Linked DNA regions of Notamacropus eugenii. The protein of the gene in region 1 interacts with the protein of each later gene in a pairwise test. Links are inferred from orthologs where the notes say so. Each region holds a gene or a part of one and is shown on either strand. Other genes may lie near its edges. The genes, in order: LRP1 and MAPK8IP1.

Region 1 (14,846 bases):
TGGCCAGAGTTCGACAGAGGAAACAGCAGCTGGCAAACTCCGAAAGCTGGAATGAGTGAGATTCACAAACCAGATGTGCTCTTTGGGGGGGGGGGGGGGGGGGGAGGGGAGGGACCGAAGAAGAAAGGGAAAGCAGAGAAGGCTAGAGCTCAGGGCTCCTTTTTCCCTCCCAGAGGCATCTATCCCGCCTTCCCTTGTGCTCCCCCTCCCTTGCCCAAGCCTGCAGGATGGGGGACACTGCTGACCTGCCTGTCAGTGAAAGGAGGTGATAACCCTAAGACCTCTTCTGGACTCTGTGAGGCCTGGGAGGAAGGGAGGCAGATTTGGAGGACAGGCCCGTACCACTTCAGTAACTCACTTTCAGATAACGGACACGGCTAAGATAAAGTTTTTTATCTAGTACTCCCAGTCATACTCATCTGCAGGGACTTCGAATTTGCTTCACTTGGAGTTGGCAGACGTTCCTCCCTCCCTTCCCTATCCATATCACCTGAATCTAAAACACAGGAACCCCATCAACCTTTGTCTAGCACTAAAGACAGAGGCAAGCTGACAATGCACTCAAACTCGGGGTGGGGGGTACAGATGCCTCTGGGAAGAACTGGTCAGTCATTTTCAGCTCCTGAGTTGGTGGTGTTCCTCGACCAGCTGCATAGACAGGCTAGGATCCAGTAGAACAGTGACAAGAGGCGATTTTTGGTCTATTTCCATTTGGAGGAGGAGAGGGAGCTAGAGTTTGGGGGGGGGCAGCTGGCTGGGTAACAAACTTCTGGGAGAAAGAAGAGAGAGGGAAAGGGAGGAAGGGAGGGAGAGAATACAGCCAGCAGCACAGAAGGGGCGTCTGTTCTCAGCTTTGCTTCTAGACGAATGTGACCGCCATGCTAAAGCTAGCTGACACCCCTGCTCTTCCTATTCCCCACCCTGGGCTCTTGGCCCAGTCCTGGCCTCTGGGGCCACTAAGAATGACCCACTGGAAGCATTCGGCCAGACACAACATGGACTCCCCCTGTCCCACTCGGACTCTGGCTGAAGCCCTCTATCCATGTCTGGGACCTTTAAGGAGAAGGGGACTGGAGTTGGGGGGGGAGAGGACAGAAAGAGATTAAGAGTTGGAGAAGGAAAAGATGGCAAAGGCCTCCCTTTAGGGAAGATAGTTGGGAAGGTGAAGTCTTGGAATAAAGGGGTGCTGGTCATTCCCTAAACCAATAAAGAGCAGCTTAAAAGCGGAGGGAAGTGGTCTGTAAGGGGATTTCCCAAAAGGCTAGAGAGACCTGGGGACAGTAAGTAGGAAAGATCTCCTATTTTTGCAACATAGAGGCAAAGGGAGAGATTAATTTTCTCCTCCCGGGGCCATCTAAGGAAAAGAACCACAGAGGATATATTTAAGGGCAGAGAGGAAGGTGGGGGACTGGAGGAGCACTGGGGGACACAGTGAACAGGACTATGAACTTTCAGATAAACTGGAAATGGGGATAACAGAAGAGCCTCCCAGCCCCAAACCCAGAGCTTTTTACTTGATTTAATGTATTTTGGGTGTTACCCCGCAGCTCTGGAGGCTCCCAGAGGCTCAGACACATTTTTGTCATTCCTGAGTCTGGGCCTCTGCTCTGTGGCCAGGATGGATGGATGGGGTGGCTCAGACCGCTGGGGGAGGAGAAGAGGGCCCCCTCCACCCTGAGTCAATATTGACTCAGCAGGACATGAGCCTGACCCTTAACCCCCCTCCCCACACACAAGATTTTTCTTTGACCCCACAAATGAAACCCAGACCACCAAGCTATCCTTAGAGGTCATCACATCTATCCCTCTGCCTTCACAATCCCAAGTCTATCTGCCTATACTTTGCAAGGAAGCAAATTCCCCAGGCTCACTGGATTCCCCAACTCTTTCCCCTGATATCTTTAATTATTGGGAAATTCCCCGTGAAGTCCAAGTTCTCTTCCTCATGATGCTCAGCCCCTTAACTCCCACTCTGCCCATGGGATACGGCAAACTCACTCCCTGAGACTCCCCCTCTAATATCTGCTCTCTAAGTGAGGGGGGGCAGAAAGGAAAGAGGGCAGGGGGGACATTTCTTTCATCCAGTTTTCACTGGAAGCTTAAGAACTCATTGCCTCGGCCAACTCAAGGAAGAGCATGTGATACAGACTTAGGGAGCGATTGGAGACAGAGATGTCAAGAGATAGACAAACCCAGTGAAAAAAGGTAAAGAAAGACTGGGAGAATCAGGGAGGGGAGACAGAGGGAGTGAAGGAGAGACAGGGAGGGGTCGACAATCGAAGGGTAAGCTGCCAGAGACAATGACATAGCTGTCCTGGGGTGAACCTAGCAAATGACACCATCAAGGAAGTAATAGTGTAGAAATGGGACTGAGGGGACTAAGTCCCCTTCCCGGCTGTCTGCACTTACCCTGGGATTACCAGCATGAGGGATAAATTCCCATTACACAGAGAAGGAAAGCAGTTAGGACTCATGTCAAGGCCTTTCCAAGACTTGGAAGGGTGAGAAGAGGAAAATTAAAAGCTGGGCATCTTCCCTGAAAGATACTCTAGATTGGGGCAGGAGTGGGAGAGGATCAGGGCAAGGGACAGATGACCCCACAACCCCACTCTCCCTCCATCACCACAGAGGGTGGTTTCACGCTTGGTGCCTCCAGGCCACAGGCTCCGGAAACACTCCAGAGCCGACTGCTTCCTTCTCTAAACAATGCTGATTCCTGCTGATGGAGCTGAAACCTGGCTACAGAGCCAGGGATTGAGAGGAAAAGCTGTCCCCAACCTACGCGCACATCCCCAGGCCCACCTTAGACATAACCCCAAGAGAAAACCTAGGTCAAAAAACCCTTATCCAACTACACTCCCATATACCTCAAGGATTCCCCAAAAGCAAATCATTGAGACCACCTTCTGAACACTTCCACTCATGATTCAGGGGACAGGGGTCAGGGCTCAGTGACCTAGAAATTAGACTCCATCTCCACTGAAGGTAGAGGCTGAGAAGATGTTTAGATATGAAAGAAAATTTCCCAAAAGTGAGGGGCACATGTACGTTCGGGATGGCGATTCCCTGCCCCAGTTTGACATAGGCGTGAGGTGGAGGTAGGAGTACTAGAAGACAGCTCTTGATGAGTTATGGTCTGGGCTCAGGGCTGGGGGTGGACAAGGAGAAGAGGGAGATAATGTGGGGAAGGTAGAGATGGGGTACAGTATAGAATAAACACAGGGTGGTGGAGGAGGAACTCCAATCAACATTTCCCTCAGCTACTCTGTTGATTCAGAGAGGAGGAGAACCTCCTCCTAACCCTCATGTCAAGAAGTGTCTAAGGAGGAAAACTGAGGCACAGAGCCAAAACAACATGGACTTTTAAGGTGACAATCCAAAAGTTTTCCCCCTAATAACAATGTGAATTTATATATCACTTCAGAGTTTACAAACCACTTTTTCCCCAAGAGCCCTGTGAGGTAGATAGTGCAAGTGTTATTATCACTATTTTACAAGTGAGGAAACTGAGGTCTGAAAAAGTGAAATAATTTGCCCATAGTTACATAGCTGACTTCATCATACTTCGTTCACCTCTCCTTCCATATTACAACTGCTTCTCTCATCTCATTCTTTTGGGCACAGTCTGAGATAATGGAATTTGAGGAGGGGGCAGTATTGGAGAAAAGGAATGGTCAGGGAGAACAGTTTCTAAACTTCGATCAGAGTTGAACGTCTCTGTAACACATACCTCCTCTCCCCCCCCCCCCCCCCCCAACGCTCCAGAGCGGGTAGCCAAAGCCAGCATTAGAGCCCTTGAACACAGAACAGCTGTGTCACTTTCTCATCCCATTGTGAAACTCCAGCTGGGCCCCTGAACACATCTCAGGATGTTTTGTGTTCCCCATAGTGGCCCCTCCAGCCTCTTAACACCCCCAACCAAATTGTTTTCCTCTTCTTGTCTTGACTTTTCTGATTCTTCCTAATCTTTCCCAGAACCAGGTGTCCCAATTCCCTCTGCCTCAGCTTCCCAGCATTCAAACCTCCTCATTGAAGGAAAAAAAGTTAAATATAATTATTTGGGGGGTACAGCAGGCAGATATAGGCTGCTTTGGAAAGAGATGAGGGCAGAGATTCTCCCTTCTTCTAAACTGGGCAATTTCTGTTTTTGTTTTCCTCCTAGCCCAAAGAAGGAGAGTTCTGAAGGATGGTATAATTGAGGAAGGGGGCATTGAATATTCCCCCTCTCTATGTGGGTTCCCTGCTCCCCAAACTTCTCCTCTCCTCTCCTGCCTCACTCTTAACCAAAGTAAGAGGGTCTTTGATTCCCATTGAGGTCAGGGGGAGGGGGACAGGGCAGTTGGATTTCTGAGAAAAACTTTCCCAACCCCAAACTTGGCAAAGTTTTGGAGATTGGAAGTGGGGGTGGAGGTGTGGTGGGCCTGAGGAGGGAGGGTCATTTCTTGCTGTGGGCAGAGTATGGAGCCCCCTGGGGGAAAAGGGTGGTGAGACACCCCACATACACTCAATCAGTGGGGCTCAGTTCTGCCCAGCCCAACCCCCAACCTATCCGTCCCTATTCTTGACTTAAGACAAGACTTGAACCCATGACTCAGGGTTAAATAGGAAAAGTTGCCAAAAGGGAGGAAAGGAGAGGGAACAAGAGGCCACCCCCAGTTCCCTAAAGCACATAGAGTTCCGGCTAGAGCTGATGTCTGCATTATGCAAAGGGAGAAGGGGGAGGGGGGGAGAAATTAAAAACAAATTCACTTAAGTTGCAGAACAGAAAACAGCAGCGGCATACTCCCCCTTCCTCCCATCCCTAAACTCTCCTAGTCCAAAGTGTGAAGGTACCAGAAAAGCATTCCGTGCCCCCACCTCAGTGATCCAAACCCGACTCCCAGCCCCTCTCCTCACTGATGACGTCTGACGTTTCATCCCAAACCTCCAGAAATTAAGAAGAGAAACTCGAAGTAACGTAATAACCCCCCACCCCTCCCACCTCTATCCCCATACAGCTCCACTCAACCCCGGCTACAGATAGAGGCCCACAAAAGGGGGAGTGTAGAAAGAAAGATGTGGAACCCTGGAGGCCTAGGCTAGAACCCAGTCCTTCTAGAACCCATTCCCTCCACCCCTGCTCCAGGGCCCAGTCCATCTTTTAGTACACAAGTCCTCTTCCTCTCCTCACACCTCTGCCCAATGTGGGCACCAAGGAAAAGCACTTCCCCCTTTGGCTTTCTCCCTCTACGCATTAGAAACGCACTGCAGACCCCCGCCCGAGCAGTTCTCCCCCCCCCCTTTGCAGATGTTTAATGCAAATCCAGATTCCTTCACAATTCAGATAGGGATGGGGGGGGGGGGGCCGGGACACGTCCTCCGCTAGAAATAGAGACAGCATAGGCCTCGCTTCATCTTCGGTGGCACTAAGCGGGCGCCGGGTCTGCCCCCCAAGCCAGTCTTTGTCTGAACTGGGGGGGTCCGGGAAGCATCTTCCACCCAGGCTCCCCACCCCCAGCCAACCCAGACCCCTGCTCCCAGCCCCCAGCCGGGGCGCTGCTGTGTCAGCTGGACCCGGATAACAAAAGGCCCCCCCACTCCGCGACTCCCTCCCCTTTCTGCAGTAAGAGGTGGGGACTGGGGAGGGGGCGTCCTCGGGGGAGGGGGGAGGGTGGGGGGACTCTCACTCACCATCCATCGCCGCTGTGGCCAGAGCCAAAGCCAGCGGCAGCAGCAGCAGCGGGCTCAGCATGGTGGTGCGGGGCCGGTGCAAACAGCCCCCTCCTCCGCAATCGGGCTCCTTCTTGACTGTGCCCCCCTTCATGGGGGTCCCCCGTTTTCCTCCCCGCCTTTATTTTTGTCTTTTCTTTCCGCAAAGCCCAGCGAGCTCTGGGATCGGAGGAGGGGGGTAGTGAGAAGGCAATAGTTAAGGGCCCCTCTGCTGGAGCTGGCTGGCGGGGAGGATGCGCCCCCAAATCGAACACCTCGAGGTCCCCCCTCCCTCCTCTTCTCTTGGCTCTCCCCTCGCCTAGGGCTTAGCTCAGAGCCCCATCTCGGAGCCGCCTCCGGCTGCAAAAATGCACAATTGGGAGGAGGCGGGGGGGGATGGGGGGGCGTGGACGGGGTGGGGGAGCCTAGGAAGGGGGGTCCTTCGCAGCTTTAGAAGAGCTGGAGGGTTCCCCTCTTTTCCTCCTCAGTGCAAGGGCCCTGAGCTCGCGCCTGTGCTCCCGGGATGGAGGTGGCGCGGGGGGGGGCGGGGGGAGGGAAGGGGGGAGTGGGAGGTAGGGAGCAGAGGGAGGGGGCGGGGAGGGGGAAGGGGCGGGGAGAAAAAAGAGGGGGAGAGCTAGCTACGCGGCAAATGTCCTGGTGCGCATGCGCGCCGTTCTCGCCCTCACCCTCCAGAAGAGGGGGAGAAGGAGGAGTGGCAGGGCCGAGGGGCTTGGAAAGCGGTTCCAGAGAGGCGGTGCCATGGACCCGCGGGCCAAGACACAGAATCATAGGATTGAAGCTAGAAGGGACATTCACTCCAGCTCGGTCACTTTACGGATGGGGAAACTGAGGCCCGGACATTTCTGTGACTTGTCAATGATCAAACTGATCACAGAGCCGGGATTCGAACCCGACTACAAACCCCTTCGCTCTTTCCCCACATCCAACTTCGCTCTAAGATCGCCGTCACTCCCCCCTCCCCTCCATCACCTCCCGTCTGCGTCTTCCAGAGCTGAGGGGATAGATGGGCAGGGTGTGGGGCTACAGGATTTCAGCCCCGTCCTGGGTTCTAGATTCTCCTCTCTGGACTTGGGCCTGTACCCTTCTGTAAGCTTGACCCTATCCCTGTCCTCCTCTTCCAACCCCCCCTTCCACATACACACGCCGCCCCCCCTCCCTCCCCCCCAATCCCTGGCCCGTAGAGAGCTGGGGAAGAGATGCCAGTCAGTGGGGAAGGCACTGGGAGAAGTTGAGCATTGATTTGGAGGCTCTGGGAAAAGTGGAAGGGGATTGGCTCTCGGGGCAAAGGGGGCGGGCCGGAACCGCCCAGGCCCCGCCCCACCTCCCTAGCTCTCGGCTTCCCAGTAAACAGGGACATTTGCCGGGACTCGACTGAACTTGTACTTTCGCCTTGGGTTAAGGACTAGAGCCCACCTTAGTGCCCGTCCCTCCCCGCCCCCGTCCCCCTTAGCCCACCCACCCCTCCTTTCCTTGGCGCAGGGCAGGTTTGGGGGCGAGCTGTTTGGAAGGGAGTGAGTCACTGGATGGGTGGGGCGGGCAGCGCCCCCGCCTCCCCCGGGGAGGTCAGAGGCATTTGTTGTGGTTGTTTTTGTTTTGAAAATGTCTGTGTTTGGGGCTTTTCCCACCTCCCAGGTGACTTCGGAAATGAAAGCTAGGGACCAGAGCTCTAACTCTCTGGGTTCTAGATTCACAAGAAAAAAGGTTTGTAATTGGCAAGTGGGAGGGGGGGAGATTCTGAGGATCGGTCTGGGATTTCTAGGTTTACTGGATTTCCATCCCTGAGTGCCCAGCCGTGGTCCCAGGTTCCGAGTCTTTTGCAATAGACGTCCCTCGAGCTCCGGGCTTTTGGGAATGTGCGTCTCGCCATTGCCCCCTTCTGGTCTGTCTTTTCGCCTTACATTATGGAGAGGGTCGAGTGGTAATGAAGAGCCTCCAGAAAAAGAGTGAGGAATGCCCTGCCAGATGTTGAAACTATGAAGCCAGTTGTTGGATGTTTGAGCAAAGAAAGCACAGCAGATACAAAGGGAAGAGTTAGGACCAATGAGTGGCAGTCGGATATGGGGAAAATTTTTCCAACTGTTAGAAATAACCAAAAAGCAGAATAGATTGATTAATGGCGTTGTTTCCTAGTCTAGAAATGTCTCATCTCCCCGGTCCATCCTTCTCACAGATGCCAACATAAAGACACATGCTTAAAACCTTAAGTGGCTCCCTGTTACTTCTAGGTTAAAATATACAGGAAGGAAATAAATATTTTATTAAGGGCCAGGTGACTATGTGCTAATCACCTTACACATATTTCGTTTGATCTTTACAACAACCTTAAGAAGAATTTGCTAGTATTATGGCCAATTTAAAATTGAGGAGACTGAGGTAGACAGGTGAAATCACTAGCCCAGAGTCACGCAGTGTGATGAGATTGAATTTGTTTTTTTTTACTAAGGTCTGGTAGTATTTAAGGATGTGCACAATTAGACTCTAACCTAGCCCACCAACCTTTTTTTTTTTTTAAATTCTTTTCAAAATTAGGAACTTAGTAATGAACAAACAAACATTTTCATGTACAAATTACAAGAACAAAAAGAGAAGATAATATATGAAAAGGGACATCTCTATCCTCTTTTATGCACATTATTGAAGTTCTGGGACAGTTAGCTGTTCCTCAGATTTTGAAGGGTATCTGCTGCCTCTGCACTCCCTCAGGTCATCCCCCGAGGGCTGAAATTCAGTCTTTCCTTAGCTCTGCCTTTCCTTATCCTCCTTTAAGGCTCAGTTCCTGTTTTCTCCATGAAGCCTTCCCAGATCTTCCTTAAGCCATTAGTGCTCCTTCTTCTTTTTCTAACAATCTTTACATGCTTGGAGCTATTTTTTGTCCTTTCACTTTCTATCTGAGGAAACATTTGTTTCTTCCTTCTTTCTATCTGTGAATATGTCATATACTTCCAGCTCCTTGATGATGGGAACTTTCATTTTCGTCTTTGTAGGTTCAGTATGTCCAACTATACTTTGCATTTAGTAGAAGTTTAAAATTTCCCCTCCTGATTGTGCTTCTAATTGTCCTGATTTTGTTCCCGTTCTTGGGTTACCTTCTCACTCCAGAACTTCCCTATGCCATGATGGCTTTCTTCTCCTCCTGGTATGTTTCCTTCCTGGGCCTTCATTTTGGGGAAGGTCCCAGATGGATCCTAAAGCTAAGTGCTTTATTCTTCTCTGGACTCCAGTGTTCTCATACCTTCTTTTCTTTCCCCCTCTTCCACTTTCAAGTTCCCTTTTATGTGTTGGTCCCATAAGCTCCTTGAGGGCAGGGAATATCTTTCTTTTTACTTGTATATGTATGTTTATCACTTAGCACAGTACCTGGCAAATAATGTTTTATTTGTGTGCTTGATAAATTTTTGTTGCTTTCCTACCTGCCTGCATGGAACTATATTTAAACAGAAGCTGGTTGACTGCCTGTTGAAGATGAATACAGCATCTTTGCTTCAGGATTGGACTAGATGACCTTTGAGGACCTGTCTACTTCTCATATAATATGATTCTATGAACCTCTTCCCCCATCAAACTCCAGGAGAGCAAGGTCTTGTACACCCAATGGGGACCACTATAGAATTCCTATAGGAGCATTTGAGGAGATTGACTCTTTTCTGAACCTTTGAAACTGAGAAGAATCAAAGCACTTTTAAAAATTGAGCTTAGCATTGTTTATCCAGAATATTTCTCTCTTGGCTCTCTCTGTGGTGTACTGTCTACCACCTTTCTTCCATGATTCTGATCTAGAAAGCTAGTTGCCTTTGTCTGCTTTCTCTTTTTTTTTTAACCTCCTATATTGACATAGTGTGGGAGTTTCCTTGGTTGGGGACTAGAAGGACTTTCTCCTTTTGTTCAGTTTCTGCATGCCATCGTAAGTCTCAATAGCCTCCTCAAAATCCACGTGGTGACTCTCCCTGCTTCCTGGTATACATATGCTTTGCCCCACTAAATATGGGCATAATTGTTTCTATTGGAAAGTAGCTGTTGTGATGAGATTGTACATCCCTAGTACTCTGCCAGTGGGGAAGCGGATAAGGAGTGGGGATAGGGAACTTGTGTTAGGGCTATAAAAATCTGCTTCCCTCCACCAGTGAGCACACTCCCTGGCTACCACTGATTGAGTGACAAGGGCTGTGCCTTTTCTCGTGAGAAAGAATAAAGACCTTCTCTGATCTCCAATTCAGACTCCGATCTTTATTGTGGTGGTGATCTCTGTCCCATACAGTTTTGGGAGCTCGTCCGGGATACCCTCAAAGGAGGAGGGGGTCCTTCTAACCCAGACCTACTGGCAGAAGGTCCCACCGAAGTTTAGTAGGAGGCCCTCAGTCAGGTTTGGGAGTGACCCTCCTCTGGTGGGAAAGGATCTGAAAGAAGACTGAAGCTGAGAGCAGAAAGTGATCGAAAGGGGGATGAGAAACACTCTCGGGATCAGTTGATCACGTAAGTCTGTGCACAGACCCAGGTGAGCCTTTTTGATTTTGAAACCCAGGGTGGTCGAATAGGGCAACACAGGAAGAACTAGTCCTATTGAGTCTGTAAGATTGAGGGGTCTGAGAAACTCTTGAGGGGTCTGAGAAACTCTGGGCAAGAAATAGGGAGCCTATTGCAGGTTAGTCTTGTTGAGTCTGCAGGATTGAGGAATCTGAGAAATCTTGGACAAGAAATTGAGAGTCTGTTGCCTGGAAACAGAAATTGAAAGAGACATGGTAAAGTCTTAGTCAAAGTTGAGTGGTGGGAGTCCCCTCCAAAAGGTACCAGAAGATAGTCCCTTAAGGACTATCTAAGCTAGCTAAGCAACTGGGATGAATTGCCAAAATATAAAAGGAAAGATAAGAGAAAGATGATCAAATATTGTTGTTTAATTTGGGATGGTGCTCAGCTTGGAGGAAACATCTTCTGTCCAAAGTATGGGTCCTCTGACGATTGGGTCTGCCAAAGTTTAAATAAGTATGTGAATAGTAAGGAATCTAGGGATGAGGAGGAGTGCATGTATGCTGCCCTCTGGCTGTCATCTGCTGGACAATTTGTGGTTAAGGAGACAGGAAAATCAGAAGACAAAGAGGAAAAACCGAAGACCTCCCCTCCTTGGGATCCTCTCCTTGCCCTCCCCGCTCTTTACACCCGTCAGCCAGCCCAGCCCCCAGTATCAGCTCCTCCCCCTTCTGTTCCATCAGAGAGAGGATGGCGGAGACCTGATTGATCTGGCAGTGACCACACAGCCACTTGCTCCTCTCTGCTGAGAATTAATTACTAAAAGAGCAGGAGAATTTTCCTCTCCCAACCCCCAACACTACCAACCTATTTCCCCTCAGGGAAGTTCCTCTAGCTCAAGGGGGAATTGGTTTTGTGAATGCTCCCCTCAGTAGGACAGAAGTTAGAGATTTTACAAAGGAAATGAAACCATTTATAGACAACCTGTCTGGGATTGCAGATCAATTTCACCAATTCTTGGGCGCTAATCTCTATACTTGGACTGAGTTAATGGCCATATTGGACATCCTTTTTACTGGGGAAGAGCAGGGGCAAATTAGAAGAGCAGCTGTGAGGGCTTGGGATGATGCACATCCACTGGCCCAGGGAGGGCTAAGAGGAGAGCAGAAGTATCCTTTCCAAGATCTCAGTTGGGATCACAATAACTCTGCCCACCATGACCTTATGAGGGACCTCAGAAGCATGATAGTCCAGGAAATAAGAAGTGCCATTCCTAAGAGTCAGAATATGAACAAAGTAACTGAGGTTAAACAAGAAAAAGGTGAAACCCCATCAGCCCTCCTGAATAGACTTACTGAGCACATGAGAAAATATTCAGTATTAGAACTAACTGATCCCACAGCTCAGAGCCTTCTTAGGGTATATTTTGTCACTGGGGCCTGGCCTGACATCAACAAGAAATGGCAGAAAATAGAAGGGTGGCAGGCTAGACCTTTAGATGAATTGTTAGAAACTGCTCAGAAGGTGTATATGACCAGGGAGGAGAAAGCTAAGCAAACCAAGATTATGTTGCAAGCTTTGAAACAACAAGAGGAACAAACTAAAATTATGATGCAGACCATGCAGACATAGTTAAATCAGTTATGAGGTCACAAGGGCAGAGGAGAGAGTGTGGTCCTCTGGGACCCAGAGGTGTCCCAAAGAGAGGAGGGTTCCCACCTCACACCCCATTGATTTGTTTCAGTTGTGATCAGAAGGAACACATGAAGAGCAATTGTCCCCAGCAAGAACAGAAAATTTTCTCTCATGGAAACTGAGGATTAGGGATGTCAGGGGTTCACAGAGCAGACCCACCCCGAGTCCTTGATAAGTTTCAGGGTGGGCAAAGAAAAGCAGGAATTCATGTTTCTAGTAGATACAGGTGCCAACCAATCCTCTCTAGTAAAACTACCCACCAGGGCAAAGATTGACAATGAGACTGATGATATCTGGAGTGAAAGGAGAAAACTTCCTGGTCCCCTTACTGAAATATTAGAATTTGAGTATTTAGGATCTAAATTTTGGGGAAAATTCTTATTTGTGCCCAAAGCTGGAGTCAACCTATTGGGGGAGGATCTTGATCACCCAAATGTCCATCTGGCTCATCCCATCAGGTCCCAAATTGTTCCCCAAAGAGTATTAGTATTAAGAGAAGGGTATGATTGAATCAAAAGTTTGGGCAGGACCTCAAAATCACTGGAAAGTAAACATTCCCCCATCATGATCAGACTGAACATACTGGGAACAATAGTTAGAGTAAGACAATATCCCATCTCCCTTGAAGGAAAGCAAGACCATAAACTGGTAATCCAAGGTTTATTGAAGGATTGGTTGTTAGAGCTGTCAGTTACCTTACAACTCCCTTATTCTTGAGGTCAGAAAAAGGGATGGGTCTTACTGTTTAGTCCAAGATCTTAGAGAAACCAATAAGATAGTCCTCTTGTCTTATCCTGTAGTCCCAGACCACTACAGTATTATGGGGAAAATCCCATCTGAGAGTAAATGTTTTAGTGTTATAGACTTGAAGGATGCCTTTTGGGCCTGCCCCCTGGATAAAGGAAGCAGGAGTTTGTTAGCCTTTGAGTGGAAAGACCAGAACACAGGCCCAAACCAACAGTTGAGGTGGTGTGTCCTTCCCCAAGGGTACATGGAGTCACCAAACTTGTTTGGCCAAGTCTTAGAAATGATCCTTGAGGATTTCCAACCCCTTCCACAAATGATTGTCCATCAATATATTGATGACTTACTGGTAGCAGGGCCCAAGAGAGAAGGTGTGAGTGAGACCTCAATTCAACTTTTAAATTTGTTAGGCACTAAAGGTTTGGGGGTCTCTCAGAAAAAGATGCAGTTTGCAGAATGGGAGGTGAAATATCTAGGCTGCCTCATCAATGGAGAGAGTAAAAAGCTGGACTCAATGGCAGGGATACTCCAGATTCGCCTCCCCAGGACAAAAATAGAACTGTGAAAATTCCTGGGGTTAATGGGATATTGTAGGTTATGGATTGACTCCTATGCAATATTGACGAAAACACTGTATAAACATTTGTTGGAAGAAGAACCTGATGTGGAATCAGGAGAGTGAGGATAGCTTTGTAAGGTTGAAAGATGCCCTGAAGTACCCCCATCCCTTTCCTTTCCAAAATATTAGACCCAGTAGCCACAGGGTGGCCCACTTGTGTCCAGGCAGTGGCCACCACAGCCATTCTGGTAGAAGAGAGTAGAAAATTGACCTTCGGGAGAAGTCTAGTAGTCAGTGTGCCCCACCAGGTCTTAAACCAGAGGGTGGGGTGATGGTTGACTGATTCTAGGATCCTTAAATATGAGGTGATTCTAATAGAGAAGGATGACGTGGTCCTTACTCGTGATGCCAACCTGAATCCTGCCACATTCCTGATAGGTGGGCTAGACCCAGAACCAAGGGTTGAAGAACCCTGCTGTATAGAATTAATTGACTTTCAGATCAAAGCCCGTAAGGACTTACAGGAATCCCCGATTCCAGGAGTTACAAATTTGTTCAAAGATAGCTCCTCTCGAATAGTGGAAGGAAAAAGAAGGAATGGCTATGCAATTATTGATGGGGACAGAACCACCTTTGTGGAGCAGAGTGGACTCCCTAATCATTGGTCTGCACAAACCTGTGAATTATATGCATTGAGTCAAGCTTTGAAATTATTAGAGAGTATGGAAGGGAACATTTATACAGATTTTAAATACACATGGGTAGTGGCCCATGTCTTTGGGAAAATTTGGTAGGAGAGGGGCATGATAAGCAGTAAAGGAAAGGAGTTAACACACACAATCTTGCTACAACAGGTTTTGGAAAAGCTACACCTGCCCAAAACCCTGGCTCTGGAGCATGTGAATGGTAAGTTCTTTTGAGGCTAGGGGAAACTGCTTAGCTGATGAGGAGGCAAAGAGAGCTGGGGAACTCAGATAGAGTGTGGTTGGTCCTACGTTAAACCTGATCTCAACACTCCTGCTGGACTTAAAGCCAGCATCCCTATTGGAAAAAGAAGCCAAGAAGACTCAGAATTTAGCAACCAAGTGGGATGAGTGGGGGAGGTGGTTTCTCCTAGATGGGAGAGAGGTCCTGAATGAAGCCAGCATGAGGCAGATACTACAACACCTACATCAGGGTAGTCATTGGGATGTCCAGAACCTGTGTGATACAGTGTTGACCAAATATATTTGTCCCAGTGTCTATACATTGACCTGGCAGGCTGTTGATGGTTGTATTATTTGTCGATGGATGAATAAGAATAGAGATGCCATCCTCAGGGAGGCAGGCCACCAGGGATCTGACCATTTCAGAGCATACAGTTGGACTTCACTGAGATGCTCTCTCTCCGCCCCCCCCATCCTGCCCCTCCCACCATAGGGAGACTCAAGTATTTGCTGGTGGTAGTGGATCACCTCACATGTTGGGTGGAAGTTTCCCCCCCTCGCTCAGGCTACTGCCTCTATAGTAAGCAAAGTCTTACTGGAACAAGTTATCCCCCGATATGGGCTATTGGAATGAATTGATTCTGATCAGGGGACTCACTTAAGTGTCCGAGTCCTCCAGTCTTTGATGAAGGCTCTAGAAATTTCCTGGGAGTTGCACACTCCTTGGCACCCTTCCCCCCCATCAGGCAAAG
Region 2 (15,375 bases), on another chromosome or scaffold:
CATACATACCTATATATTAAACCCATAGAAGGTGTTTGCATGAAATGGAAACCTGTAGTTACTGCTAATGTAGCTGTTTATCACTTTTCACTCTACAGTGGTGATGTCATCTTGGTCACCTTCGAAAATGAAGGACAGCCACCAGTTATTTATCATGAACCTTAGGATCTAGCACGTAGGTTAAGGAAGCACATTTTCCCAAATGTGCACATTGTGAGGGCTGCGTGTCACCACAGGCACAGATCTGCCGCTGTCCCAGCCGCCTTGCCATCCTGCCCCCTGCCAGACCAGTAATTACCCAGATAAATTTAAGCTTATGTAGCTGTTTGAAATCTCCTTATGTTAGGGATTTCGCCTTGAGTTACAGCCTCCATACCTTTGTGTCTCAGTCACATTATTTTGTGAAGAATGTTTGAAACCACCCCCGCCCCCATGGTTTGAGTGCTGTGCCCTTCAGACCCAGTGCCACCCTTTTCATTGTCTTCTTTCCACTAGTGTGATCACTAACACCCGTCAGCAGTCTTTTCTCACAGCACTCTGGTTGGGTTCATTGCTGTCTACTAGGAGCTCTCTGTAAGTGAGGAGTTTGACTCATGTCTCACTTTTCACTCACTACAAGAGAGGAGACTCGTTCTGCTTGGCCCCCAAAGGAATCGATGCAGGGAAAGTTCTAACAGTTAGAGTTGACAGAGGATGGATGTGCTGCTTTCACAGGTAGTGAGTTCCCCATCATGAGAGGTGTTCAAATACAGGCTAGTACCTGCCTTTTGGGGATGGCGTAGAAGGGATTCCTTTGAAGGTACAAGTTAGAGAACTGGAGCTGGCCCGAGGTAGCTGTCCCAGCGACTGACACCCCATCCCTCCACCCTGCTCCCGAGGGTATTCATCCCCTTTCACCCTCTCCCCCCGCTCCTCTGCCTTCCTGCCAGGGGCTGTGCCCACATGTTGTCCACCTCCATGCCTCCATGGGAAATTCCACTCTGGCTCTCCCCCATGACAACTAGTTCTCCCTCCCTTCTGTGTTGCTGTGGATCAGAAACAAGAACCTCATCTGGACCTCAGGCTCTGCCTCCTTTGCTCCCCTCAGCCTTGAACAGGATGACCCAGAGCTTCCTCCCAGGCCTCATCCCTGTGCCTCTATGCTCTTCCTCTCACCCTCCTGACCCTTTCTGTGCTCAGCAAATCCTGATTCTCTCCTCGTGTCCAGTCTGTTGACCTTCCCTTCAGGGACAGGCTGCTCCTTCCCTCACACCCTTAAGCATTCATTGGCCACCTGCCACCATCCTGCCAGGCACCATCCTAAGCACTGAGACAAGGAGCCTGCCTTCACCTTGTTGAGTCTCCATACCATGTTCTGACCCTACCTGTGCCACCATTCGGCACCTGCTTCTCCCCTTCCTAGCCCACTCCAGCCTGCTGCTGTCTTCATGCCCAGCCACCCCTGCCCCTAAATGGTCCCCAGCTTTCTTAGATTCCTCAGCCTTCTCAATCCTGTGCCCTGTGCCTTCAGGATCCCACCGCCTTACACTTACACATGGACCTGTGCATATGACTGACTGTTCCATGTGACAACACTGCCTGTATAGATAGGCCCTGACTTTCATGGAGAGTTGTTTTAAATTGGATTCCCTCACTGTCAGCGTCCTCCTCCCTCTACTCCCAACCAAGGGATATCTTCATTTTCCCCGAGCTCGTCCTCTTGCTCCCCTTCCCACCCTGGCCTGGGCTCTCTTAACTGGCCATGAGCCCATTCAGTTCCTTCCCATTACAAGTTACTGGTTCAGAGGGCCCCCTCAGTCAGCTCCAGTACCTTTGTGTAGAGACCCGGCCCTGAACAGTCATTCTCTCCTGGCCTTGTCCTTGGAGTGCCTTATACATTTGGAGCTCTGGCTATTACCAGTGATTTATCCTCAGTAGGGTGAAATTCCCCTGCATTTCATCACAGCAGGGCCTGTGCATTCTCCAAGATAGAGAGCACTGCCCTGAACAGGAGCCCCCACATCCACCATCCCCCTGACCCTGACTGCTGGACCCCAGGCTGGTCATCATGGGGAGTGGGACAGCGGGGACGAGCAGGGAGGAGCGAGTGTGCTCCTGTGGTTCAAGATGTCGGCTGACTGCTGCTTTTGGATGTTTCTCCTTCCAGCAGCAGAGCTGAGCAGCTGCAGAAAGAAGGGCGCAGCATGGCCACAATGCCAGCAGACCACGGACTGCAGGGAAAGCAAGTCCCCTGCGAAGAGAATGTGTGTGCCTGTGTGTGCCCGTGTGTGCCCGCATATGGGAAGGAGGGGCGTTACGTGATGTGCAGTTGGGAGGTGGCAGCCTCCACTCCTGGAGACACCCTTGTACCCTTGAGGCCACTCGCACCCTGGACTCTCCAGCCCCCCCACAAGCCCAGAGGTTGGGCCCCAGCAGGGGCCTCCAGAGCAGGTGACCTTGCCCTCTCTTCTCCTTCTATCAGGGCAGTGGGACCATGAAGCTGTAGCTGAAGCAGCAGGGCTGGATGCTGGCCAGGCCCTGCCTCTGCCCAGACCCCAGCTCTCCAGTGCCAGGCTTTGCTGCCTTGTGTTAGAGTCTGAGCATCTTCTAGATTAGGGGCATCTGAAACTTTTTCCTCCTCAGAGAGCAGGACTAAGCATTCTGATGGCATGGCATCATGCAAGGGGCTATTGGAAGACCCCTCTTGGGAACCTGCCACAGCCCACTCTGCCTTGCCCTGCTCCCTGCACACTCATTGCCTCAGGTCAGGTGCAGAAGTTAAACTGTTAGAAACAGAGGCTGCTCATGGTATCTTAGCTTAAAGGGGTACTGGGTCTCAGAGAATAGAAATCTCCTTCTATCAGCAGCAGATTGAATGCTTAGTGGAGTTCTTATAGTGGCACCTGCCCTTCTCCCACCCACGACACCCACTGAGGAAGGGCTGCCAGCCCAGCCGCAGGGAGTCGTCCTCTGCTGCTTTGGACACCAAGGCCTGGCAACTGGTCAGTGTTCTGGGACAACTAGGAGAAATCAGCTGAGGGGAGGCCCAGATTCCAGGAGTGTCCAGTGGCCTCCTTCTTTCATCATTGCCCATCCCACCCTCCCCGCCTCCTCATCCTTCCATACAGGGATGAAGGCCTGCCTTGCACTGCGCTAGAAACCATCATGAAACGGAACTTGGAGTAGACCGAAGTAAAATGTAACCACCTAGAGAAGTCTTCCTCCCCGCCCCCAGCCTCTCATGGGGCTGCAGAAAGTCTGTGGGGGGGGGACACATGTATGTATGTATGTATGTGTGCACGTGTGTGTGTGTGTGTGTGTGTGTGTTTGCTGGGCCAAGGGCCTCCAGTAGCCTCCTTGGCTTCATGCACTGCCCCCTCCTGACCTTCCCCCACAGCTTTGGGCCTCCTTTCTGCCCTCACCCTTCAGCTGTTACCTTGCTCATTTCCTCTAGAAATGCCCTTTGTCTGTCCCAGAGTGGGTCGTAAGAGTAGGGAGCAGTGGGAAGTGGGGTTCAGTAGAACGGGGCCCTAAGCTCTCTGCTGACAGGACACAGACCAGCCTGATGGTGTGTGGACCATGGCAAATGTGCAAGAAGATGGGTCCTCAGAGTGGGAGTCGAGGTCCCTCCCCATCTCATTCAAAGATTGTACTCCCCCCAAAGAAGAAAGCAAAACCTCCAGTTCCTCTACCCCACCCTCTCCTTAATTTATTGGTGGTTGTAGCTTGTCCCCAGTCTGACCAGTAGATGGAGCAGGATGAGCCTTCTCCAGGCTTGGATTAGCCCTCCTTCCTCTCTACCTTAGACTTGCCTCTGGGGCCCACTGCCCCAAGCTTTTCCCCAGCTCATTCCTAAGGGAACCATGGGGACTGATGGCAATGGGCCCAGTGCCCTTTGCACAGAGACTTCTGTGTTTGAAAGGTATGGTGTTTTTCCCGTGGTCTGCCTGTAAAATATATCTTTGTTTTATAAACGTCTGACCTTGCCTGTGCTGTGCCTGTCCCATCTGTTCTAGCAGCCGCCAAGAGTGGGGGTGGGCAAGGCTGCCACTACTCTGATGGAGAAGGTTGTTCTCCAGACTCTAAATTGTGGGAAGGCAAATCCTGCTTAACTGCAAGCCTGAATCCAGGGTGGGATACTTTAGTAGAGCCATAGCACCCTCAAGGGAAGAGAAAAGGGGTCGCTGGAATCCATGGCTTCTTCTGGAGTCTGAGAACCTTGAATTCAGCATCCCCACGGGGAGTGGTGGGGTCTTGGCATGCTTCTGTACTAGCCTTTGGCCCGGTATGAATATTGCTGCAGCCTTGTTGATACACCTGCTGGGAAACTTTATCAGGAAAAGTTTGTTCAGCACCTGCCTGAGGAGCCTCAGTCACTGTTATAGGATGGCATGCTTCTGGTCTTGGTCCAGTGGTGCCATGGCACAGTGCTCTGGCAACCCAGCCTTCAACTTTCTAGTCACTGTGATAAGTTGGGTTGGCCAAACCCTGGCCCTTAGATGCCAGGCATAGCCCAGTGGGGATGATGGTGTCCTTCCCCCACTCTTGGCATTGATTTTGAGCAATGGCGCTTTCTAAACTAACCTTGGGCTAGCTTTCCTTTGATCTGTGTCTCATCTGGATTCTAGAGCATAAAGTCCAGTTTAAGCCCTAAATGGGTGGGGGATAGAGCCCAGAAGGAAGGAAATCCTTACCTCCCTATTTCATCCAAAAGGCCTCACAGGGTCCAGATTCCAGGATACCCATACATCCAGAAATAATCATTGGCATGCGTGAATCCCACTACAGAGGCTGAGAAGGCCCATAGGAGGCGGGCCTGATTTTCTAGCAGCAATGCCATGAAAAGGGCCTCTCCTAAGCCTTCAGGATGAGAGGAGTGGGCCACCCAAGGAGTTGGATCCTATGGATATTCCCTGCAGATGCTTTCAGTCTGACTGTTCTTAGCAGTGTTACATCCGAGGAGCAGGTATCTGTGGGGATTTGTGCCAAGCAACCAACTCAACAAATGTTTATTAAGCACCAATTATTACATACCAGGGACTAAGCAAGGCCTTCATAGTCTAAAGTAGGATATCGGCTTTGTGCCTAAGGAGCTCCCAGAGCCCACAGTCAGAGGGTAGAAAGGACAAGAACCCAAACGACAAGGATAAAGGACAAGGTCAGCATCAACTGGAGAGCTCTGCAGAGGAAAAGGTGTCACTTGAGTTAGCCTTAGCCAACAGTCCATTCTGGGTATGAGACCATGAGCAGAAGCACAGACACCTGAGGGGTCAGTGTAGATGGAGACTGAAGGGATGCAAAGTGGGCTAAGGCCAAAAAGCAGCTCGGGGAGGACTTTGAATGCTGGAATCGGGAGTTTGCACATCGAGTAGGCAATGGGGATCCTAACAGACACCAGAAGGAAGGGATGAGGTTACAACATTCAAGTCCTACAGAATTCCTAGGTTTAGGAGTGGAAGGAATCTCTCTTGGTCCAGCCTTCTCACTTTACTAAGGCCCCAAAAGATGTAGTTATGTGCCTAGGACCATAGAAACAGGTGGCAAAGACAAGATTTGAAACCAGATCTGACTTCAAGTTCAGCATTTATTCTATTAGCAGAAACCTATTCGGGTGGAATTCTGGGGAAGGTGCTTTCTGGGGCCAGACTTCTCAGGAGAAAGCAGGACGCTGTTCTGGGGCACATGGGGGTATGGAGGTGTGGATGCTGAGATGACAAAGAGATCCAAAGATACAATCCAACCTGTGGGGTTGGAGCCTGGTACAGGCTTCAGGGGCTCTGCTCTTTGCCAACACCCACAGCAATAAGCTGGCTTGTTAGATGAATTTCCATAGGAAGCTCATCAAGGGGATGTTAGGAGCTCCAAGGGCCCAAACAGCATAGGCACCAGTCCCTGGAGAGGGAAGAACCAAAGTAGGTATACTGGGAAGGAGCTACTCAGCCAAGGCTTTGTGTCAGTGGGGGGAAAAGGGGGGAAAATATAACTCAGAAAAAATCCCAAACGGCTAAGAGGTAGGAGAACCCGAGAGAGAAATGAAACTCAGAAGATCATGAAATTAATGGGTTGGTATTCAGGAGGCAGACCCTGTGCCCTGGCAGAGAAGACAGTGTGTTAGCCTAGAGAAGAGCCCTTTACAAGGAGCAAATGCTATCAAGGTGCTGAGAGAGAGTCGGTGAGGTGAGAAAATCAGACATTGCTGACAGCCTTGGGGGTGGGGAAGTCAGAGGAGGCTCGGATTAGGAAAGAGAGGATACAGTGTCTCTAGTCTGGGACTGATCTGGGGCTAGGAGGTGGGAAAGGGTCAGGGCTGGGAAGGGGACTTCAGAGGCCCAGAAAACACTCTGGGGGAGGGGGGGCAAGAGGAAGCTTGATGCAGGGGAGAGAGCATTGTCCTTGGAATCAACTCAGCCTTCCCACCCCTTAAACTGTGGGGCCTTGCAAGTTGTACCAGCCCACATTTCTCTGTAAAGTGGGGTTGGACTTGATTTCTATGGTCCTTTCTAGCCTTTAACACTCAAGCCTATAGTAGAGTCCAGATTTCTGGGACCAAATATTATCCAAGGTATTTGAGGAAGAAATGGGTCCGAGTGGGAAGACATGAATCTGGATGACCTTTGCCCTGCCTCCCCTCCTTTTCTCATTTTCTCTGTACAGCTTCCAAAGTGAAGGAATCTTAGAGAAGGTGTAGTCTAATCCCTTCATTTTATATATTATGAAACTGAGGCCCAGACCGAGAAAGGGACCTGTCTCGGGTCCCATGGAGAGTGAGAGGCAGAGACGAGGTTCCAGACCTGGGGCTATTTCCATTCCATCTGAGATCCAGTGGTAGGAGACTGTGCAGGTCCCGCATAAACAACAGGCTTTTAAATCTCAGTAATTCTGCATTCCCCCCCCCCCCCCCCCCCCCCCCCCCCCAGGGATGGGAATAATCTCTGAGATATTCTGAGGTTTGACAACTCCAAAATACGGTGGACAAGGTGGGGGTGGAGAATGGCAGGTAACCAGGGAATGGGAGGCTTCAGCACCTTGGAGAGCGGCGGCGGGGGCGCTACCCCGCGCTATTGGAGGAAGCAGGAGTGCCGAGGAGGAGAGGAGAGAGTTTCCCCTCTAGGTCCCTCGGTGTCCCTGCCACCCGGCCAGTTCCAACGCCGCGACCCTCTCCAGCCCCTGCTTTCACCAAGTCCCCGGCTGCCCTAAGTTCACCCAGCGCTGCCTGGTAGCGGATGCCCAGCCCCCAGACTCGGGAGCCGAGCCCTCCGCAGGTGCGTCCCGCCCCTTTCTCCTCCTCCTCCTCCCCTCCGGGAGCCTGATGGCTACAGCAGCAGCTTCTCCGCCCTTCCTTCCTCCCCCTCCCTCTCTTCCTCTCTCTCTCTTCCCCTCCCTTTCCTCCTCCCCCTCTCCCTCCTCCTCCTCCTCTCCCTCTTCCCCCTCTCCCTCCTCCTTCTCCTCCTCTCTCTCCTCCTCTCCCTTCTCCCCCTCTCTCTCCTCCTCCCCCTCCTCTTCCTCCTCTTCCTCCTCCTTCTCCTCTTCCTCCTCCGCCTTCTTTCCCTTCTCCTCCTCCTCCTCTCTGGCTCGCTCCGCCCGCCCGGATGGACTGGGCTGCGCCGGGAGAATGGCGGAGCGAGAGAGCGGCGGGCGCGCCGGGGGCGGGGGCGCCGCGTCCACGCCTGGGGCCTCCCCGTTCCTGGGGCTGCATATCGTGTCGCCTCCCAATTTCAGGTGAGAAGCGCTAGGGGCCCAGGGCGCGCATCCCCGCCATGCACTCTCCGCTGCTCGCCCTACCCCGGGGTAACTAGGGATCCCCTTCTCCCTTACCCAGGGCAGCGGCCTCTCCCCCCACCCCAGGAGCAAGTCCTTTCCGCCTTGGGGCTGGACTGGAAGGGGCGAGGGTGGGTATTCGGGTAGAGAGGCTGGGGCACCGAGGAGGAGGAAGGGGACTCCGGATGCCATTTCCCAGACTGTCTCTGGGTCCTCCTTCCTCTCCGCCAGAATTGGAGGTGGGGTCAGTGGGCGGGGGTCTTCTACCGTGGTGGGGAGGTTCTGGGCCTGCGACCCAGATCGCCAGCTCACATGAAGGTCGGCTATCCCTTGGTTGGTGGTGTCAGGAGTTCCAAGGTGGCAAATGCCTCCCCAACCCAAAGAAAAAGCTCTGGGCGGGTGGTTGGCCCTTAGAATGAAGGGGCCTCAGAGCCACGTGTCCTTGTCTCTCCCCCACCACCACTATGGGGAAGATGAGGTCTGTGCTAGGCAAAGCTGGCCTCCGTCTGACCGTATATGAGGTGAAGGAAGATTAACCTAGACATCCTGGGGGGTGGGGACATTGAATCTGGAGTAAGAAAATCCAGGCTTCAACTCAGCTCTGCTCTTTCATTGTGTGTGGCCGTGGGTAAGTCACTCCCCCTGAGTCTCAGCTTCCTCATCAATCTAAGGGACTGGACCAAATGATCTCTAAGATACCTTTCAGTTCTAAATCTTAGGAGCCTATAATGATGGGAGGGCCCCAGGAGAGTAGGGAGAGCGCCCTAGATATAATCTCCCTGAGTGATCTCTGAGGTACCCGGAGGCCTGACAACTTCCCCAAATGGGTCTGACCGAGTGGGAGCTCGGATGGCGGGAGATCGAGTAAAAAGAGGTTTGAGCACCTTGGAGAGAGACAGAGGTTCTTTGAACCACTTTCTCCCCAGCCGCTCTGTGAGAAAGAAAGAGAGGTCAGGGTAGCCTCTGGACCCCCTTTGCACCACCAGTCTCTATCCTAGCTCTTCCCGACTGGACCCAGACCTAGGGAATCTCTCCTACTTGGGCCGAGCTCGGTCCCTTAGCAGACATTTCACCTGGGGAGGATAGCCAAAGGAAGAGGAAGGAGGAGAGAGAAGGCTATTTTCTCTGTCTCCTCTACCCCCATCATTGACAGCTCCAAGCAATCCTGGGAAGGTGGTTCAGGATCAGAAGGGTCAAGTTGTTTTCAGAGGGTTTTTTGGGTTTTTTTGCTCAGCCTGGACTGGGTCTGGAAGATTCTTATAAAAGACCCTTATGTCTGGAACTTCTTTCCTTCTTTGACCTGCCCTGGAACAGACCCTGGAACATATAGGGTATAGGTCAAGGGGGGAACGGGGAGTAGGAAGCGTATGTGTGTTCAGATAAGTGGGAGGTGTGAATTCCAGTCACTGAATAATGTCATTCCTCCACCACCACCACTCTGCCCCCAACCCCAACCTCAGGAGTTTTATGAGAGTGAGCAGCACGTCTTCAAAGTGCTTGGAGATCCTTGGAGAAAGGTTCAAATAAACATCATTGTTCTTTCTCCTGCTAATAATCCTTCCCTTCTCCCTGGACACTAGCTCCCCCCACCCCCGCCTGGCAGTCTGATCCCAGCTGGGGCCCAGTGCCTGAAGGTTCCTGTGTCTGTGTCTGTCTCCTCCTGCTAGCACATGTCAGAGACTGAAGGCCCCCAGGAGGGTCACTAATGGTGCCTTCCAGCCACAGGGGCCCTTGAGACTTCCAGTCTGGAGAAGGGAATGGGAGTGGAGAGGAGCACCTGAGCCACAGTGGCAGTCTCATTGCTAATGAGACTGAGGTCATGGAGTGGATCCCTGTAGGGTCCCCAGATAGTATCCCCGACCTGGAGGCCTGGGATAAAGACTGTGGAGGGCTCTGTGGAGCCCATCTGCACAGAAGGAAGTGGGGTGCAGACAGCTGTGTGTGAGGACAATGATCTACCAAGTTCCAAGGCAGAAGATTCTTGCTTCAAGGCATCAGCCACACTTTGTACTTAAGCTGTTCCCTGCCCTTTCCCCTCCACCATCCCTTTGCTCTCACTTCCCAAATCCTCTCAACTTCTTTCTCCCTGACCCTCTCCCTCCCCCATCCTTATCCCTACAGTAGCTGTGACACCAGGCTCTTCACAGTCAATAGAGTATTTCTTTCACAGCTCTGTGAACTAGGAGGAGCAAGTATTGTCACCCCAATTTTCACTTGAGGAAATTGAGACACAATTAAGATTTCATGGCATTGTGGTGTAGATCTGGGTTAGGAGCCCCAAGTTCAAATTCCAGCTCAACCAATTACTGATATCACCTTGGACAAATGGCTCCTCTGAGCCTTAGTTTCCTCATCTGTAAAATAAGAATAATACTTGCATCTGTTCCGTAACGAATAGACTCCTATAAATCAATAGAAATAAGTTGTTCCTTTAAATGACTTGCCCACAGTTACAGAGTTGGTAAGTGGCAGGTTAGATTTTGAATCCAAATATCCTGACACTAAATTAATTTCTCTTTTCATAGCTACTTATAAACTTATTAGATAATGTCAGGGCATTAGAAAATTGGAAGGCACTAGAACAATTATCTGGTTTAACCCTCTCATTTTACAGATGGGGAAACAAAGGCTAATTGACTTGCCCAAAGCTGCATAGCAAGTTAGTGAAAGACAGCCTAGACTTTCCCAGGGGTCACTGGTCCAACATCCATGCCATAGCCAGGGTTGGGGAGGGAAGAGGAGAAGAGAGAAAGTCATTATGAGGGGGCCTGGGTGTAAGGATCAGGAGAAAGAATGAGAGTGAGAGGGTTGAAGAAGAACCTTTTCCCAGAGAGGTAGGAAAGCACCTGCTGCCCCAAGACCATTGCTCCCTTCCTCTTAAAACAATGGAAGACAGAATAGAGAGGATTTTCCTATTTCAAAGACAGAGAGCTCTAGAGACCCAGAATTGGGGAGAGAGACCCCTACAAAGATCAGACAATTCCTGAAGGTGCTATGGAGGAGGGGAAATGGGAATTGGAGCCCAATAGAAAGAAGGGCAAAAAAGGCCTCTAAAAGAGAAAATAGGAAGGCAGTCCATCAATGGGCATTTATAAAGATCTCACTATGTGCCAGGCATGGGTGATACAAAGAATAGCAAAAAACACGGTCCCTCCTCTGAAGAAGCAGACATGTAAACAACTTGGTACAGACAAGATATAGACAGTGGAAGAGATGCTCTAAGATAGAGATAGAGGCAGACAGACAAAATCAGAGAAAGAGGGGAGAGAGAGAGACATAGAGAGAGGGAGAGACAGAGAGAGAGAGAGACAGAAAGAAACAGAGAGACAGAGAGAGAGAGAGATAAGAGAGAGAGAGAGACAGAGAGGGAGAGAGAGAGAGAGTCAAAAGGTAATTTGCAACTGGAAAGCATTTCTAGCTGGGAGGACTGGGAGAGGGTTACTGCAGAAGGTAAGATTTGTACTGAGTCTTGAAGGAAGCCAGGGATGCTAGATAGAGCTGAGGAGGGAAAACATTTCAGTGAAAAGGCATAGATATGTGTGATAATGAAATGATGTGTTTAGGGAATTACAAGTAGGTCAGTATCATGGATTGTAGAATGTGTATGTGGAAAACTAGAAGAAGGCTGGAAAGATAGGTGGGGACCAAGTTATGAAAGGCACTAAGTGATAGATCTTGTGTTTGATCCGGGAGAACATAGGGAGCCTTTGAAATTTATTAAGTGGGGAGGGGTGGCATGGTCAGACCTGTGCTTTAGAAACGTCATCTTGGTAGCTGAATGGACAATGGATTGTGGTGGGGGAGAAACTGGAGGCAGGCAGACCTATTAGAGGCTATTAGACCAAGAAAAATGTGGTGACGGCCTGAACTTAGGAGGGGACTATGTGAGTGGAGAGAAGGTGACATATGTGAGATGCTGCTTAGGTTGGAGAAACATGGGGAGATAGTGAGGAACTAAGGATGATGCTGAGGTTGTGAGCTTGGATGATTGGGGTGCCCTCCAGAGTAGCAGGGAAGTGTGGTGGGCTACTGGTGTAGAATAAGGTATGCATTATCAGAGCGATCAGTGGATTATTTTATCTCATTGTAATTCTTTGTTCTCATGGTGGCTGGTACTGGGAAATGGTAACAATTTTTCATAAAAATCAATTAAAAATATGTGTATATTCAGTTGTTTTACAGTTGTGTCCAGTTCTTTATGATCCTATTTGGGGTTTTCTTGACAAAGATACTAGAGGGTTAGCCATTTCCTTCTCCAGTTCATTTTACAGATGAGGAAACTGAGGCAAACAGGGTTAAATGACTTGCCCAAGGTCACACAACTGGGAAGCATCTGAGAGCAGATTTGAACTCGTCTTCCTGACTCTAGGCTGAGAGCTTTATCCACTGCACCACCTAGCTGCCCTTTTTAATATGACTTTTTCATAAATACACATTTTTAATGTCAGGAATCTCTGCTCCCAATGACCCACAGGCACTTTTTGGGGGGCAAATTGCACTGAGATAGAATATGGGGTAATGGATCCAGCCCTGACCTCAGAGCCCGCTGAACCATGTTTGGGTTTCACCTCTGACGTGTCCTGAACTTTCGAGGTCCCAGGCAACTGCCTATCATTATGAGTGAGTGACCAGTCTGTTGGTGATCTGCATTGGTAGAGGCAGTTACTCCACTGGGAGCTCCCATGCCAATGAATCCCCAGACCTCTTTGTTCCCACCCACCACCTACCCCCATTCAAGGGCTACCTCTGGGCTCCTATTCATGGCTGAAGTTGCACTAACAGTGTGAGCTTATCTTGGGTGCCTCCCCCTCTCTTTCTGTTTCCCTGCTCTGTTATGGTGCTATCTCCCTAGCCTCCACCTCTGGGAGCTAAGGAACTTAGGTTCCCTCCTGCGAGAAACAACTCTCATAGAAGGCAACCTCTCAGCGGAATAAACACCATCTTTGGAGTCAAAGGAGCTAACTCTGCTATTTAAAACTTGGGACAAGTCCTTACATGACTTGGGAAAATTCTCTAATTTCTGTGGGCCTTGGTTTCTTCATCTATAAAATGAGGAGTTTGGTTCAGTTTAAAGTATCCCACTTACCACAACAAGCTGGAGGCTTCCAGAGTGGGTAGCTAGGAGAGTGGGTGGGATGGAGACTCTGACATGTGCATCATTATTTTTTTAATTTGTATTTTAGTTTTCAATATTCACTTTTATAAGATTTTGAGTTTCAAATTTTTTTCTCCCTCCTTCCCCTCCCCTTACCCAAGACCATATAGCTATATATGTACAATCATGTTAAACATAGTTCCACATTAGTCATGTTGTGAAAGAAGAATCAGAACAAAAGAGGAAGACTAAGAAGGAAATAGACTCCATAGTTCTTTCTCTAGATGTGGGTAGCATTTTCCATCATATGTCTTTTGGAATTGTCTTGGATCACTGTATTGCTGAGAAGAGATAAGTCTATGAGAGTTGGCCATCACACAGTGTTACTGTTACCGTGTCCAGTGTTCTCCTGGTTCTGCTCACTTCACTCAGCATCAGTTCATGTAAGTCCAGGTTTTTCTGAAATCCACCTAGTCATCATTTCACAACAGTATTCCATTCCATTCATATGCCACGGCTTGTTCAACCACTCCCCAATTGATGGACATCTGCTCAGTTTCCAGTTCTTGGCCACCACAAAAAGAGCTGCTATAAATATATTTGTACAGGTGTCCTTTTCCCTTTTTGTCCTCTCTTTGGGATACAGACCTAGAAGTGATATTGATGGGTCAAAGGGTATGCACATTTTTATGCCTTTGGGCATAGTTCCAAATTGCTCTCCAGAATGGTTGGATCAGTTCACAATTCCAGGAGCAATGCACTAGTGTTCCAATTTTTCTTACATTTTCTCCACTATTCATCATTTTTTGGTCATATTAGCCAATCTGCTAGGTGTGAGGTGGTACCTCAGAGTTGTTTTTATTTGAATTTCTCTAATAAATAGCGATTTAGAGCATTTTTTTCATATGGCTGTAGATAATGTGTGGGTCATTAAAAGGAAAGGGCATGGCTGGTCTGAGGAAGACAAGACTCAGGGGAGGACATCAGAGCTGTCTTAGAGTATTGGGAGGGCTGGCCCTGTTGAAGAGAATTAGACTAATTCTGCTTGGCCCCAGAAGGAAAAACAGGAGCAGTGATTAGAAGTTAGAAAGAGGCAGAATTTGGCTTGAGGTAACAAAAAACTTCCTGACAATTGGATCTGCCCCAGAATGGAATGGATTGCCTCAAGAGGTGGTGAGCTCCCCATCACTTGATGTATCCAAGAACAGGCCAGATGACCACTTGTTGAGGATATTAAAGAGGAGATTCCTGTTGAGGTGATGGGCTTGTGCTAGATGACTTCTGAACCCTTTCCCAGGTCTCAATTCTGTGAGCTCTTTCATGCCATCTCGACATGGGAGGGACTGTATGGCCTGCATTTTCATTCATTCAACAATTGCTCCCTGAAGGTCTTATCCAAGGTCAGCCCTGAGCCAAGACCTCAAGAGTCCACTGCCTGGGCATGGAGATGACGCACCTCCATAGAAGAGGACTGTAAGACCACTGAAAGAATTGGAGAATAGACCAGTTGGAGAATAGGGAATTTAGCTGCATGACCCTGGGCAAGTTACTTAACCCAGTTTGCCTCAGTTTCCTCATCTGTAAAATGAGCTGGAGAAGGAAATGGTAAACCACTCCAATATCTTTGCCAAGAAAACCCCAATGGGGTCACAAAGAGTCAGATATGGTTGAAAAATGACTAACTATCACATGGAAATAATGGACCTTTCATTGTCTATTTCCACAGATCTCCTGACTCTTGGTCTGAGATTTTTTCTGTTATACTAGATTGGGCCAAGCTCCCATTCAGAGATTGATAACAATAATAACAGCTAACATTTATACGTGTCCTTTCCCTGTGTTAAGCTCTTCCTAACAATGATCTCATTTGATCCTCACAACCACCCTGGGAGGCAGGTTCTCTTATCATCCCTATTTTATAAAGGAAGACACTTAGGTAAACAGAGGTTGTGACTTATCCAAGGTCATCCAGCTAGTAAGGGTCTGGGGCCATATTGAGCTCAGATCTTCCTACCTTCCTACCACTCTATCCACTGCACCATCTCACAGCCACTACTGACTGTTATTTTAGACAAGGCTGGTTATTTGGTTTTCCAAACCACCACAAATCAGAAGCAGAGAATGAGGAGGGGAAGCTGGCACCCTGAGGACAGGGAGAAGCAACTGCTAACAGTGGAGGAAGCAGATAGACAAAGGATGAAAAGAAGACATAAGAACCAATATGGAAACCCAAAGAGCTAATACATCTTAACCCACATAAAAAGAGACATGGTATCTTGGAGTGGTAGTAATAACAGTAGCTAGAACTCATATAGAGGTCGAAGGCACTCACATATATCTTCTCATTTTTTTCTTCACAACAATCTGGGGAAGTGGGTACTAGTATGATCCTCATTTTACAGATGAGGAAACTGAGGCAGAAAGAAGTTAAGTGACTTGCCCAGAGTCACACAGATAGGACGTATATGAGGCTGGATTTGAAGAGACAGTAGTCCCCTTTGTCCTCTGCCCTGGTCAAACCACACATAGAGTATTACATTCCA

Evidence for each region.
Region 2: the proteins of LRP1 (region 1) and MAPK8IP1 interact in a two-hybrid assay, tested with the Homo sapiens proteins (2 studies listed by BioGRID). The link is inferred for Notamacropus eugenii from reciprocal best matches to the Homo sapiens genes LRP1 and MAPK8IP1.

What each region holds. Positions count from the first base shown.
Region 1 is NC_092874.1:232,520,814-232,535,659, reverse strand, and holds the start of LRP1 (prolow-density lipoprotein receptor-related protein 1), read right to left. Parts: upstream 6,228-14,846; 5' UTR 5,804-6,227; coding exon 5,671-5,803; intron 1-5,670. UniProt on the Homo sapiens protein: Endocytic receptor involved in endocytosis and in phagocytosis of apoptotic cells. Required for early embryonic development. Involved in cellular lipid homeostasis.
Region 2 is NC_092877.1:4,978,824-4,994,198, reverse strand, and holds the start of MAPK8IP1 (C-Jun-amino-terminal kinase-interacting protein 1), read left to right. Parts: upstream 1-7,428; 5' UTR 7,429-7,591; coding exon 7,592-7,698; intron 7,699-15,375. UniProt on the Homo sapiens protein: The JNK-interacting protein (JIP) group of scaffold proteins selectively mediates JNK signaling by aggregating specific components of the MAPK cascade to form a functional JNK signaling module. Required for JNK activation in response to excitotoxic stress.